2 linked regions of the Drosophila melanogaster genome follow. The protein of the gene in region 1 interacts with the protein of each later gene in a biochemical or structural test. Each region holds a gene or a part of one and is shown on either strand. Other genes may lie near its edges.

Region 1 (8,113 bases):
TACCCTCAGCATTGTCATTGTTATTCTGATTGTCATTGCTCTGCTGTTTCATTTCGAACGGCATGCTGGATTCGCTGCCGTAGCTAAGTTCGCTATACTTATTAATTTTGGCCGGCTTTCTGCCGGCAATTCCATCATCGGAGAGCGATGATGGCATTCGTCTTTTCTGTTTGCACCTTTTTTTACATATCTTTGGTCGCTTTGCTCTTTGTTCGATCTGCTCCTGGTGGTTGTAGGATGGGGATGGCTTTTGTTTTCGCGACAATTGCTTTTGATCCTTGGAACAGGATGGCTGTTTGACCGTATTCGATGTATCAGTCATTCCATCTTCCGACATTTTGCGTCCCATATCCGCATCCACATCCATCGGCACATTCGACTGTTGCGTTGATGCGTTTCCCATTTGAGTCACGCCACACGATTCCATCTGTTTGCGAATCTTTTCCTGGAAGGCCCTCTTTGAAGCCCTGATAATGGCTGCCTTGCGTCTGATTACTCTCGTTCGTTTCATTTTAAACATGATTACTTCACTTGGATTGCTAGCTGCCGACGAATGGTTTAGATGTTCTTATTAGTTTTTCTTGTTTTGGCGAAATTTTCAATTCGAAATACGAGTACGAGTACGTGTACGTGTGTGTAGTATTATTTATTTTTTATCAACCAAATGTATGAAATGTCGAAACTAAACAACGAATTGGAAAATACAACTGCCTTCGATGAACTAAAATGAATGGATGGGGCTAAACGAAAAAAAATGTTGTCCGATAATCTACGCAAAGCTTACTTTTCCCCAAGGAAGTTGGAAATTTTTTTTTTTTTTTTTTTTTTTTTTTTTATTTGGAACCGAAAATTTTGATTGTGATTGAGGTTGTGTGAGCACGCGATTGGTGTCTACAAAATGGTTTAAATTTGAAACTTACCTTCTGTTCCTGGATACAAATACTTGGGTTTGGAAATTTTACCAAATATGTATAAACGTAGAAAAAGGCTAATTTTCCTGCCCTTTTACTTTTGTAAAATATTTTCAACGGTCTTATTTTGGTAAGTTTTTCGGAGCTGTTTTCATGGTGCTGGCCAAATGTTAACTGGTCGTTTTACTGATACGAAAGTCACAAAACACAAAATGTTATTTTCAATGCCCACTTGATCAGAAAATTTAGAAACTCACAGATAGCAAAGTTTCTTAGCATTTTAATAAATATAATTTAAATTTATATTATAGCTCTACATACACACCAGATGTTCAATCAGATTGACATTTCTAAAGAATTTCTTTCTTAAATACTTTATAATACTTTGTGATGATTTTCATTTATGCGCATTGAATCGTTGTGGGAATCTGATCGGCTGGGATCATTTATCACGCCATGCAGCGGATGTAGCAGGATATGCCGCACGATATGATGCTGCATAAAGTGTCCTCTGATCGGTGATCGTTACACAAACCGCATCCTGCGCAGTTACTTTTTATGGGACAAAACCCCATTGTGTGGATGCTACCAAATGTCCTGGAAATCGTAACGAATCCACGCATTCCGACCAAGGTATCCCCGCAGCTGTCCGGCGGAATCGTGTGATCCTGTCGCCCTGCCATCGCCGGCACCACAAAGTTCGCGCCCATGTCGCGGCCGCTGTAATCCTTCGATTACATCGTTACCTCACGGCGATAATCTTGGCGGGGCTGTATTATGGCGTTAGAGTGGGCGTGGCAACATGGATCTCAACTTGGGACTCTCAACCTTCTAGCTTTTATAGTTCTCGACGTTCATACGGACAGACGGACATGACCAGATCGACTCGGCTATTTCTCCTGATCAAGAATATATATATATATATAGATTATATGGTCGGAAACGCTTCCTTCTGCCAGTTTCAACGAATCTTACCCTTACGAGTAACGGGTATAAAAAATTGGAACTTGCATTATTATTGGCTCCCACAGAGAAGGGTATATTATTTGAATGACAACAACGTTTCAATGTAAATATATATTAAAATAATCTAGGTAAACATGAAAACGAAGAAAAATAAAAACAGAATTTAGTGGTATCTTTATGTTATCAAAATGAATATGATTGACAAAGCTCAGAGTCCGCAGCATTCTGCCATTTATCCTGGGCTTCCTAGATCCCAAAACCGAGTCGTAAGAACGTCTGTATATACTGTAGAAGAAACTTATATTAATAAAAGAATTTCCCTGGGAAACGAGGAGTTTATCAGTTTACCTTATTCTGTTAGCGACGGATCCTCTCCCAATGGCCCTGGGTTGAGGAATCCTGGGCGGGTGGGACGCCTAGCAGGAATGCGGCAGACTGCGAACGGCCAAAGCATCGAGCACTGGTCAAATTCGGACAATCCAGCTGGGTTTTTTACCACTGCAATAATGAAAAACTTTCAGAAGTCCTCAAGGGATTGCTCATGGTAGAGAGTGACATCGCTTTTGCTTTTAATAAAAGAATTTCCAAATTTTTGTGCCTGCAGGACAAAAATGATTATGTGTACCTTTTCGACAACTTGCTGAGGTGCTGGACCCTTCGCCCGTTCGAAGACTACCGCAAATCTGCGAGCGGGACGCCCGCAATATTCGTCTAGCTCCTTGCCCCATCCTTTGTCATGCCCTTGATCAGTCAAGTCAAGACGGTATAGATTCTATCGCCAAAAGGTGCTTCAAAATCGGATACTGCTGCTTACCTCATAGATTAAGATTTTATTGTTGGGACTCGGTTTTCCAAATGATAAAAACAATAAAAAAAATGTTTGGAGCAAATCCTAAAGTTGTTGTTTCTGTAGCACATTGAGTGTAAATGTCAAAAATAGTATTGAAAAAGAACAAAGTTAAAATCATCGCCTACTTAAAAATAGTATTGCATAGGAACAATGTTAAAATTATCGCCTACTTATTATCCAGCACTTAAGCAAGATAATTAATGTATATATATTTTTAAAAATTAACGAAAGAGAATGCTTTAGTCCCGTTCTCCGACTATCAGATACCCGTTACGCAGATAGTGTGAGTGCAAACGTGAAATTTAATAATTTTTTCTGGGGTGTGTTCTGTTACTCTACGAGTAACGGGTATAATAACTTCACATTCCAAATTAAATTGCTATAAAAAATAGATTTCCAATTAGAGAATATATCCAATTGGATCACTCGATAACACCTGTTAACCTTACGTATGTATTATGATCTAAAAACTTGTTATCGGCAAAATATAAATGAAGCTGATAAAATAAAATAAATTTGTTGTTCCTTACAAAGTTATACTACATTTACCTAAATAATAATTACATTCGAATATTATGAATAAATACGTGTAACAGTAGGATCGTGCGATACAAATATCGATTCGAATGTTGAATGTGGTATCGATGTTTTTTCACTCCACGCAATTGCATATTTGCCGTATATATCGGCATTAATTGTATAACTTTCACACCTCTACCTTGTCTTGCAGTCAGTATTTAGTCAAACAAAAGAAAAATAAACTACATTTGTTAGAGCTTGATAAGAGCTCAGTTTGTCTTCAGTGTGTGTGCCCGTCATCTAGCAACAAACCGACGTGATTATTTCGAGTATGATAGTACTTAGCGTACATTTTTGTTAAATTGCAGTAAGCATACGGGCTCCAAATATCTTTCGATTCATTGGGAAAAAATGTAAAGTGCTAAAGTGCGTGTGTGTGTTCGCTTGCAAATGCAATATATACATACAAATTTTGTTTATTTGATGTAAAAGCATCCGATTAATTTACCGTTTATCTAATTATGTTCTTGTTTATGTGGCATATTGCGGCACTGCAAGTGTGCGCGCTCATCTGTGAGTGTGTGTGCGCGAGTGCTGCTGTGTGCGTGTGAATTGGGAATTACCGCTACTCAATTTGATGTATATACACCGAATTTCGTCAATTTCATGGCATTGTCCCATTGTTATCAGGCGCAAAACAGTGATATTTAAATGCGATTTTCGATTTTCATGCACACACAGGGGGAGGGAAAACAAGAGCAAAATTGCTGTACATGTATTAGTCAGTGACTAATTGTTCAAAGCGCAACTCAACATGGCTGACTTTTTCTGTGGTGAGCAGCGATTTTTGATGATAATGCTGCCTCTTTTCTTTTCAAATTCTCTCTCTTGATTCGCTCTCACTCTCTCTCTCTCTCCCTCGCTCACCTCAAATAAAATAAAGTGCTGGTAATTTTCCCGTCGTAACGGCAAGTGCAAAAACGCAAGAAAACGAATAAAAATACCGATACAAAGGATTAATCGTAGGAAATAATTTCGTCTATATATTTTCTTGCACAAAAGCGATTGGGGATACAATAAGAGACTCGGTGTTTTATTTTAAGGGCGTTTACATCCATATGTACATACATATAGGCCTTTATCTTTCATTTTTTCATCCGGTGACGCTGTCACTTTCTATCAACAATAAAATAACGCCCACAATTTGATTTTTCCTCATTCTTGCCGCATCAGTGCTGTCCATAACTACATGTTTTTCCAAAATCTTTTGTCTTTCGTGCAGCTAAACGTTCCAATGGAAACCGAATCTTAAACCAGAAACCGACTAAACTCGAACGCAATTAAACAACAATAAATCCTCGAAACAAATCAAATACAAACTGTTACCAAGTGTGCAATTCAAGAAAACATCGTATTGGCATTGTTTTCGCAAAGATACATTTACGTTGTAAAGGTCTGTCAATAACTAGACCTCACTGTAGTAGTAAAGATGACGCAACCACTGCCCATCCGCTTTCAGGAGCATTTACAGGTGAGTAATATTAAATATTTTGGATCTACCATCATTACATATCCACATACGTACAACCCACCAATATGCCACGATTACCTACGATTATATCCGATTCATAAGCTCCCCACTTTTCTTATGAAAATTTCACGGTTTCCAGCTCTAATTCAACGTGTAAACAGAAAATATGGGGGCTTAGGTCGAGTTTCTACTTTGCTATACCTTCTATTCAAGTCTGTATACAGTGTATTTTCTATAGAACTAGTTATAATACAAATTTACATCTAAACTTAAGCAAAGTATTGCGAATATTTAATAGTAAATGTGGGTCAATCCAGGCCAGTTCAATAATTAATAATGAATGATTATATTGTGTAATGAGTGCGTATGCTATGATTTTCGATTTATCAATTAACACACATTTTCAATCTCCACTACGGACAGCTCACAAATGTCGGGATCAACGCCAATTCATTTTCATTCAGCACGCTCACGATGGAATCGGATAAGTTTATTTGCGTGCGGGAGAAGGTGAATGATACCGCCCAAGTGGTCATCATTGACATGAACGATGCCACCAATCCCACGCGGCGTCCCATCTCAGCGGATTCGGCTATCATGAATCCAGCTAGCAAGGTCATTGCGCTCAAAGGTAACTGAAACCGATGGTCCAGTCGATCAGAATGTCCGAAGAGGATCAGATTTTAGCTTAAAGTAACGTAGGCTTAGTAAACAGGTCCGCTTGTTATTACAACGTGTCTAGAAAACTTAAAACCTCACTTAAACTTTAACTTGAATATCAAATAGTAAGGAAAGAGATCAAAGTTTTTTTCCGGTCGACTGGGATAATGCATTTTTGAACATGTATAACTTTAGAATATTTCTTTTAGCGCAAAAGACGTTGCAGATCTTCAACATTGAGATGAAGTCGAAGATGAAGGCGCATACCATGAACGAGGATGTGGTGTTCTGGAAGTGGATCTCCCTCAATACGCTAGCTCTGGTCACAGAAACGAGTGTGTTCCATTGGTCCATGGAGGGCGATTCGATGCCGCAAAAGATGTTTGACCGGCATTCATCGCTGAACGGTTGTCAAATCATCAACTACCGCTGCAATGCCTCCCAGCAGTGGCTACTCTTGGTCGGCATTTCGGCACTGCCAAGTCGCGTTGCCGGTGCCATGCAGTTGTATTCGGTGGAGCGTAAGGTGTCCCAGGCGATCGAGGGGCATGCGGCCAGTTTTGCCACGTTTAAAATCGATGCCAACAAGGAGCCGACCACGCTGTTCTGCTTTGCAGTTCGTACGGCCACTGGGGGCAAGCTTCATATTATCGAAGTTGGTGCTCCGCCGAACGGCAATCAGCCGTTTGCCAAGAAGGCTGTCGATGTCTTCTTTCCGCCGGAAGCACAAAATGATTTCCCTGTGGCTATGCAAGTCTCTGCCAAGTACGACACCATCTACTTGATAACCAAGTATGGATACATACATCTGTATGACATGGAGACGGCCACGTGCATATACATGAATCGTATATCGGCCGATACGATCTTTGTTACCGCACCGCATGAGGCAAGTGGTGGCATCATTGGCGTCAATCGCAAGGGACAGGTCCTCTCCGTGACCGTCGACGAGGAGCAGATCATTCCCTACATCAACACCGTTCTGCAGAATCCCGATTTGGCCCTTCGCATGGCCGTGCGCAACAATTTGGCTGGTGCCGAAGATCTCTTTGTGCGAAAGTTCAACAAGCTCTTTACAGCCGGCCAGTATGCTGAAGCGGCTAAAGTTGCTGCCCTGGCACCCAAGGCCATTCTGCGTACGCCACAGACGATCCAGCGTTTCCAACAGGTGCAGACACCAGCTGGCTCCACGACTCCGCCGCTGCTGCAATACTTTGGCATTCTCCTCGACCAGGGCAAGCTGAACAAGTTCGAGTCTCTCGAGCTGTGCCGTCCCGTCTTGCTGCAGGGCAAGAAGCAGCTGTGCGAGAAGTGGCTGAAGGAGGAGAAGTTGGAATGCAGCGAGGAGTTGGGTGATCTGGTCAAGGCCTCCGATCTTACACTTGCCCTGTCCATCTATCTGCGCGCAAATGTGCCCAACAAGGTTATCCAATGCTTTGCTGAGACTGGGCAGTTCCAGAAGATTGTACTCTACGCCAAGAAGGTCAACTATACGCCCGATTACGTGTTCCTGCTGCGCTCCGTGATGCGAAGCAACCCGGAGCAAGGAGCTGGTTTCGCCTCTATGTTGGTGGCCGAGGAAGAGCCACTGGCGGACATCAATCAGATTGTGGACATCTTCATGGAGCACTCCATGGTGCAGCAGTGCACTGCATTCCTGCTGGACGCCCTCAAGCATAACCGTCCCGCCGAGGGTGCCCTCCAGACGCGCCTGCTGGAAATGAATCTGATGTCTGCTCCGCAGGTGGCCGACGCCATCCTGGGCAATGCTATGTTCACCCACTACGATCGGGCCCACATTGCCCAGCTGTGCGAGAAGGCTGGACTGCTCCAGCGCGCCCTCGAGCACTACACGGATCTGTATGACATTAAGCGGGCCGTTGTGCACACGCACATGCTGAATGCCGAATGGCTGGTCAGTTTCTTTGGCACGCTGTCGGTGGAGGACTCGCTGGAATGTCTGAAGGCAATGCTTACGGCGAATTTGCGCCAGAACTTGCAGATCTGTGTGCAGATTGCCACCAAGTATCACGAACAGCTGACCAACAAGGCACTGATTGATCTGTTCGAAGGTTTCAAGAGCTACGACGGACTGTTCTACTTCCTGAGCAGCATTGTCAACTTCTCACAGGATCCCGAAGTGCACTTCAAATACATTCAGGCGGCATGCAAGACTAATCAGATTAAGGAGGTGGAGCGAATTTGCCGTGAATCAAACTGCTACAATCCCGAACGGGTGAAGAACTTCTTGAAGGAGGCCAAGCTGACGGATCAGCTACCATTAATTATTGTTTGTGATCGTTTTGATTTCGTGCACGACTTGGTGCTTTACCTGTATCGTAACAATCTGCAGAAGTACATTGAGATCTATGTGCAGAAAGTGAATCCATCCCGCTTGCCAGTGGTAGTGGGTGGTCTTCTTGATGTTGATTGCAGTGAGGATATAATTAAAAATCTAATTCTCGTGGTCAAGGGACAATTCTCAACCGACGAACTGGTCGAGGAGGTCGAGAAGCGCAACCGTCTCAAGCTTCTCCTTCCCTGGCTGGAGTCCCGAGTTCACGAGGGCTGCGTCGAGCCAGCCACCCACAACGCGTTGGCCAAGATCTACATTGACTCGAACAACAATCCCGAGAGATATCTTAAGGAGAATCAGTACTACGATAGCCGTGTGGT
Region 2 (7,395 bases), on another chromosome or scaffold:
TTCCTATTTGATTATTACAAATATCAATAAAGTAAAATTTGCGTTATACTTTCTATTTAAAACTTTTATTACATTATTCTTAGAGTAGCACTAATAAAAATCGAGACTGATCTGACCTATCTCTTCTGCTTGCCCTTGCTCCAATTCTTTTTGCCAAAGCTCTTTCTTCCACCACCGCCAGTGCCGCCCATCGGTTTCATGCGTTTGCGTGCGCCCGTGAAGTTCTCCGAATCATCGTGGGTGTCCCCGCCCCTCTTGTGACCACCCCTTGTATCTTCCAGATCCTTCAGCTCCAGTTTTGCAGTGCGCTGTGCTTCGGCTACTCGTTCTTGAAGGGCCATCACCTCATCCTCCTCGCACTTATACAGTGTCAGTTGCTTCCCCAGTAGATGTTCGATGCGCTGATACAACTCAATGTCGTACTGGCTCACGAGGGTTATGGCTTTGCCGGAGCGACCTGCTCTTGCTGTTCTTCCCACGCGGTGAATGTAGTCTTTGCTGTGCGTTGGTATGTCGAAATTAACGACGACATCCACATGAGGAATGTCCAAGCCGCGGGACGCCACGTCCGTCGAAATGAGTATTGACCGGTTTTTGGCCTTGAATTTGTTTAAAGCAGCTAGTCGCTTGTTTTGCGACATTTGACCGTGCAGCGGAATAGCAGCCAATCCCAACGCACGAAGCATTAACGCTGTCTTAACCGTGTTGTTGCAGGTGCTGCAAAATATCATGAAACTGTTGCCTGCCAGCTCATTAAGGATATGAACCAAATACACATCCTTGTATTTGACAGGGATAAACAAATATGATTGCTGCAGCTGCTCAACCGTCTGATACTTGTTAGACACCTCTACCTTTACGGGATCCTTAAGGGAGGCACGCTGCAGTTTCTTTACTTTCTTGGTCATGGTCGCACTGAACAGAAAGGTTCGTCGTTCACGCGGCAATACCTTCAGAATCTTGTCCAGCTCCACCTCAAAATCCATGTTAAGAATGCGATCCGCCTCGTCCATGACCAAGTATTTAATAGCCTTAAGGTTAAAACCTTTCATGTTTTCTAGATGATCAACCAAGCGACCCGGTGTGGCAATTATAATATGCGGCTTCTTGGCCAGTTGAAGACCCTGGGCTACCATGTCCATGCCGCCGACTACCACGCAACACTTTATGCCAATCCCGCTACCTGAAAAAAACAGAGCTAGCATAAGTTTGGCAGAAGGAAATTCAAGAATACGATAAATGGGAAGGTTTTTTTACTCAGAGGTAGTGACGAATAAGAAAATTATAATTTCATATTTTCGTTGATACACAAAATCAAAACAGGTTTAACATCACTGCGAATTAAAAGCACATAAACTATGCGAAAACTCACCAAGGGCTTCAAACTGCTCGCCAATTTGAAATGCCAGTTCCCTCGTGGGGGTTAGCACGAGGGCAAAATACCGCTGCGGATTCTCGAGAAGGGCGTGTAAAATTGGCAGAGCGAAGGCGCCCGTCTTGCCGGAACCGGTCTCCGCTAGGCCAATTACATCCTTGCCCTGTAAGGCGACCGGAATGGCCTCACGTTGGATCTTCGAAGGCGCCTTCCACTTCAATTCGTCACATGCTTGACACAAAGCCTCATTGAGACCCTTTGAAGAAATATGGCCATTCGATTAAATTTTAATTTAAATTAATAGTGGGGCTCATACGAGATCTTTCCAGGTTAGCTTCTGTTCCTCGGCTGCGTCGTCCTCGGAGCCTTTATCATCTTCACCACTTAGTGCCGCCTCGCTGTCCCCTTCCTTATGATTGTTATCTTCATCTTCCTGCTCCTCCTCGCTACCTAGATCCTCCTCTTCGTCACTCGTTTGTAGCTGCGTCTGTTCGTCCTCTGAAGTTTCCGACATTTTGTTACATGAGTTTCAGAAAAATTTCACGGTACGGACATTACCAATAGCAGCACGTGGTCGAAATAAAAGAATTAGAGGCGGTAAAATAGAAATAGAACTATTTGCGATATTATCGATATAGTTGCGTCTTTAAAACAGTGCAGATTCATGATAACTTTCGATAGCTAATGTGCGATATATCACATGCACACTTAATAAAATTTGTAACTCATTCATACTGAACCATGATCTTAATTACAGGACTTAGTTATAGTGCAAATAGTTTGTTTCGGAAATATATTCACATTTGTATAAAATCGTAATTTGTTAGAAAATTGTTTAATATTGTGATTTTGTCATTTCAGTTAATATAACAATGTTTGAAAATAGATGGTGAATACAAATTTGGTATACATCTTTTTCCATCGCGCAATTTTAAATTAATGAAACGCCAATTAGAGGGTTGTCTGTCATGAACTGTCAACGAATAAAAACTGTTTGACATTTTCATACACAAATGTTATTGATGCTATTATTAACAATTCCGTTAAATCCGGAACAAAAGATTTCTGAATAATTGTCATTTTTAATTGTATAGAAATATTAAAGACAATAAAAGAAAAAAATAGTTGAAATAATTTAACTGACTTGTACTTAACATTTTCTTATAATTTTGGATATTCGAATTTTAATCTTCGATTTTGTTTATTGCGATCTGTTGATGTTTTGGTTAGGTATACATTTTCGTATTGTGTTAAATGCATCATACTGCCGACATAATTTTTATGAGGTTCACTGTAGAAGTAATATAATTAATATATTACTCATAGTCAGTAGTTGTTTCATTTATTTAAAAATCCGTTAGCGGCTAAAAACAAAAACGTTGCAGAATAGTCACATCCAACTTAAGGTCACCGTACTTTTCAACACTTGCTTGCTATAATCACAGAAACAAGCGACGGTCACCCTCCTTCGATTATTAGTCCGTACCTATCGGAGCCTATCGTTCGTCGATATAGGATCCTATCATATAAAATATTGATTAAAATTTACGCAAATACAAAATTTTCTTGTTCCGATGAAAAGTAAGCAACAAAATTACAGTTAAGAGGGATATATAAGAGAATAACGTGTGCGTTGGCGGGGACCATACCACATCATTACTTATCAGTTAATTCGTGGCTATGCGGTTGACAAGTGAAAACGCCTACTAAAGAGAAACTAAAACCTTCAGAAAGCGAGTAAAGGGGGCAATCTATCTTTACAACCTGTCCATTGAGATCGCTTAATATTTTTGGAAATGCTTTATAGGTAAACCATAAAAATCCATTGTGAAAATTTGTGGGGGTGGTGGATACTGAATAGGCGATAGACGTAGTAAAGAGAGCGGCGAAAAGAGTGCGGAGCGAAAGAGTTTGTATTTGATGTGTACTCAAAAGTAGCCGAAGAGAGCGCACTAATACACACGCATACGGAAAAAGGACGATAAAGAGGAAGAGCTTTCCGTGGAAACTAGGATAAAGTGTTTGCCCAAAATGAACTCGGCGGTGGATGCGTGGGCTGTGACCCCGAGGGAGCGTTTGAAGTACCAGGAACAGTTTAGGGCACTCCAGCCGCAGGCAGGATTCGTTACCGGCGCCCAGGCCAAAGGGTTCTTCCTGCAGTCCCAGCTGCCGCCCCTGATCCTGGGCCAAATATGGTATGTATATTACGCCCCCATGAATCATCCACCGATAAGAGTGTTAATTCTTACTCATTTTCTTATCTCCAGGGCTCTGGCGGACACTGATTCCGACGGCAAGATGAACATCAATGAGTTCAGCATAGCCTGCAAGCTTATCAACCTCAAGTTGCGCGGCATGGACGTTCCCAAGGTTCTTCCTCCCAGCCTGCTGTCGTCTCTTACCGGCGATGTCCCCTCGATGACGCCACGTGGCTCCACAAGCTCCTTGAGCCCTTTGGATCCACTCAAGGGAATAGTTCCGGCAGTAGCTCCAGTTGTTCCCGTTGTGGCTCCACCGGTGGCTGTGGCTACTGTCATTTCACCGCCTGGAGTCTCAGTGCCGTCTGGCCCCACACCCCCCACCAGCAATCCACCTAGTCGCCACACGTCTATCTCAGAGCGAGCGCCATCGATCGAGTCTGTGTAAGCATCACTTAGAATCGAATTAATGATTTAATATTATTAATGTAGCAAAGAAGAGATAATTTAATTAATTAAATTTCAAATATTCTTAGTTATTGAAATATTAGCAAAAACATATATATAATATCGTATCTGTTCTTAACTCCTCAATCAACTTCTATCCTTTTAGCAACCAAGGAGAATGGGCCGTTCAAGCTGCCCAAAAGCGTAAATACACGCAGGTGTTCAATGCTAATGATCGCACCCGATCTGGTTACTTAACTGGATCCCAGGCACGCGGCGTTCTCGTACAGAGCAAGTTACCCCAGGTCACGCTGGCCCAAATCTGGACGCTGTCCGACATCGACGGCGATGGACGGCTGAACTGCGACGAGTTTATTCTTGCCATGTTCCTATGCGAGAAGGCCATGGCTGGTGAGAAAATTCCGGTTACCTTGCCCCAGGAATGGGTACCGCCCAACTTGCGCAAAATAAAATCGCGACCGGGATCGGTCTCAGGGGTGGTATCCCGTCCTGGCTCACAGCCGGCCTCCCGACACGCATCTGTTTCATCCCAAAGCGGAGTGGGAGTCGTGGATGCTGACCCAACAGCCGGACTACCTGGACAAAGTAAGTGCTTAATTAACTCCGTTGCCAAACATGTGAATATATTCCATATATTAACACTTGTGATTTCGCGTTCACCAGCTTCCTTCGAAGACAAGCGAAAGGAGAATTATGTTAAGGGTCAAGCAGAGCTGGATCGTAGGCGCAAAATTATGGAGGACCAGCAGCGCAAGGAGCGGGAAGAGAGAGAGCGAAAGGAGCGTGAAGAGGCTGATAAGCGTGAAAAGGCTCGTTTGGAGGCCGAGCGTAAGCAGCAGGAGGAACTAGAGCGACAGCTCCAACGCCAGCGAGAGATTGAGATGGAGAAGGAGGAGCAGCGCAAGAGGGAACTGGAGGCTAAGGAGGCGGCCAGAAAGTAAGGACTTTTATCTTGCTTTGAGCGACAAAACAATGTATACAATTTCTATTGTATCAGGGAGCTTGAGAAGCAGCGCCAGCAGGAATGGGAGCAGGCTAGAATTGCCGAAATGAACGCACAGAAGGAGAGGGAACAAGAACGTGTTCTAAAGCAGAAGGCACACAACACCCAGCTTAATGTGGAGCTCAGCACACTGAATGAAAAAGTAATGTTCTTAAAGTACAACTAATCTATATGGCTGGCCTATCTAACTAACTCGGCTTAATTACAGATCAAGGAGCTTTCGCAGAGGATTTGCGACACTCGTGCCGGCGTGACAAACGTAAAGACCGTTATCGACGGAATGCGCACCCAGCGCGACACTTCCATGTCCGAAATGTCGCAGCTGAAAGCGCGGATTAAGGAACAGAACGCTAAACTGCTTCAGCTCACCCAAGAGAGGGCCAAGTGGGAGGCCAAGAGCAAGGCCAGCGGGGCTGCCTTGGGAGGGGAGAATGCGCAGCAGGAGCAACTGAATGCCGCATTCGCCCACAAGCAGGTGAGCTTTGGCATATACGTAAAGTTTTAGTATTCAACGGATTCTCTAAAATACTATTTACCTTTTTCAACAGTTAATTATTAACCAAATAAAGGATAAAGTCGAGAATATCAGTAAAGAGATTGAGTCAAAGAAGGAGGACATCAACACTAATGATGTACAGATGTCTGAGCTCAAGGCCGAGCTCTCCGCTCTAATCACAAAGTGCGAGGATCTGTACAAGGAATACGATGTGCAGCGCACCTCGGTGCTGGAATTGAAGTACAATCGAAAGAACGAAACTAGTGTATCGTCGGCCTGGGACACAGGCTCTTCCAGTGCTTGGGAGGAGACGGGTACGACTGTCACCGATCCCTACGCAGTTGCGAGCAATGATATCTCCGCACTGGCCGCTCCAGCTGTGGACTTAGGGGGACCGGCCCCAGAAGGATTCGTGAAATATCAAGCAGTATACGAGTTCAACGCACGCAACGCGGAGGAGATTACCTTTGTGCCTGGTGACATTATCCTGGTGCCATTGGAGCAGAACGCCGAGCCGGGATGGTTGGCTGGCGAAATAAATGGCCACACCGGCTGGTTCCCTGAATCCTATGTGGAGAAACTAGAAGTCGGTGAAGTTGCTCCTGTCGCCGCTGTCGAAGCCCCGGTTGATGCTCAAGTGGCCACCGTGGCTGACACCTACAATGACAATATCAATACCAGCTCGATTCCGGCAGCTTCCGCAGATCTGACTGCCGCCGGCGATGTCGAGTATTATATAGCCGCATATCCTTATGAGTCCGCCGAGGAAGGCGATTTGAGCTTCAGTGCCGGTGAGATGGTCATGGTCATCAAGAAGGAGGGTGAGTGGTGGACAGGTACCATTGGTAGCCGCACGGGCATGTTTCCTTCGAACTATGTCCAAAAGGCTGATGTGGGCACAGCGAGCACAGCCGCTGCCGAACCGGTAGAATCTCTTGATCAGGTAAGTGGATAGATAGTACATAATTAAGTAATGTGTGGGGCCATTTGCGTTTTAAATTGATTGGAACTAGAATCAAGAATTATAATATTATTATGTATACAAAATCGTGTACAATTTCATATTAAAAAAAAGTAAGCGACATTATTTATATAAGAGAGAAGTGAATTTAGTTCCCATATAAGAGAATATAAACGCTAAATATACAGGCCAACACTTTATCTTACTTGTAAAGAGTTTACAATCCCGAAGTCTAGAGTCGTGTCTAACCGTTGCCCTCACGTCCATCTACTAATCCAATGCTTTTCATGTGCTGTGCTTTTTGCTACCGTGTTACACTTGCACTGACCCAGGAGACGACGCTAAACGGCAACGCTGCCTACACCGCTGCTCCCGTGGAGGCACAGGAGCAGGTTTACCAGCCGCTGCCTGTTCAGGAGCCCAGCGAGCAGCCGATATCTAGCCCAGGCGTTGGCGCCGAGGAGGCGCACGAAGACCTCGACACTGAAGTTTCCCAGATAAATACACAGTCCAAAACACAGAGCAGCGAGCCTGCCGAGAGCTACAGCCGACCCATGTCACGCACCTCTTCCATGACACCCGTAAATAGTTGACACAGCCCGTTACCACTTCATTTATTGTTTCATTTAATGAACCAACATCTTTTTCGTCATCATTTTGCAGGGAATGCGTGCCAAGCGGTCTGAGATTGCTCAAGTAATCGCGCCCTATGAGGCAACCAGCACGGAACAGCTTTCGCTGACGAGAGGCCAATTAATAATGATCCGTAAAAAGACGGACTCCGGCTGGTGGGAGGGTGAGCTGCAGGCAAAGGGTCGACGGCGGCAGATCGGATGGTTCCCGGCCACTTACGTGAAGGTTCTCCAAGGCGGGCGCAACAGCGGACGGAATACT

The links.
Region 2: the proteins of Chc (region 1) and Dap160 interact in far-western blotting, tested with the Drosophila melanogaster proteins (one study listed by BioGRID).

What each region holds. Positions count from the first base shown.
Region 1 is NC_004354.4:15,830,787-15,838,899, reverse strand, and holds the start of Chc (clathrin heavy chain), read left to right. Parts: upstream 1-3,409; 5' UTR 3,410-3,613; exon of another isoform or gene 3,614-3,672; intron 3,673-3,987; exon of another isoform or gene 3,988-4,079; intron 4,080-4,145; exon of another isoform or gene 4,146-4,268; intron 4,269-4,528; 5' UTR 4,529-4,735; coding exon 4,736-4,777; intron 4,778-5,200; coding exon 5,201-5,408; intron 5,409-5,646; coding exon 5,647-8,113. Other genes in the region: CG8565 (uncharacterized protein), read right to left, coding at 1-520. UniProt on the Drosophila melanogaster protein: Clathrin is the major protein of the polyhedral coat of coated pits and vesicles.
Region 2 is NT_033779.5:21,137,800-21,145,194, reverse strand, and holds the start of Dap160 (dynamin associated protein 160), read left to right. Parts: upstream 1-2,847; 5' UTR 2,848-2,956; intron 2,957-3,182; 5' UTR 3,183-3,406; coding exon 3,407-3,570; intron 3,571-3,642; coding exon 3,643-4,017; intron 4,018-4,186; coding exon 4,187-4,626; intron 4,627-4,704; coding exon of another isoform or gene 4,705-4,716; coding exon 4,717-4,978; intron 4,979-5,038; coding exon 5,039-5,186; intron 5,187-5,252; coding exon 5,253-5,519; intron 5,520-5,592; coding exon 5,593-6,483; intron 6,484-6,833; coding exon 6,834-7,082; intron 7,083-7,164; coding exon 7,165-7,395. Other genes in the region: pths (porthos), read right to left, coding at 117-1,183, 1,373-1,631, 1,692-1,889.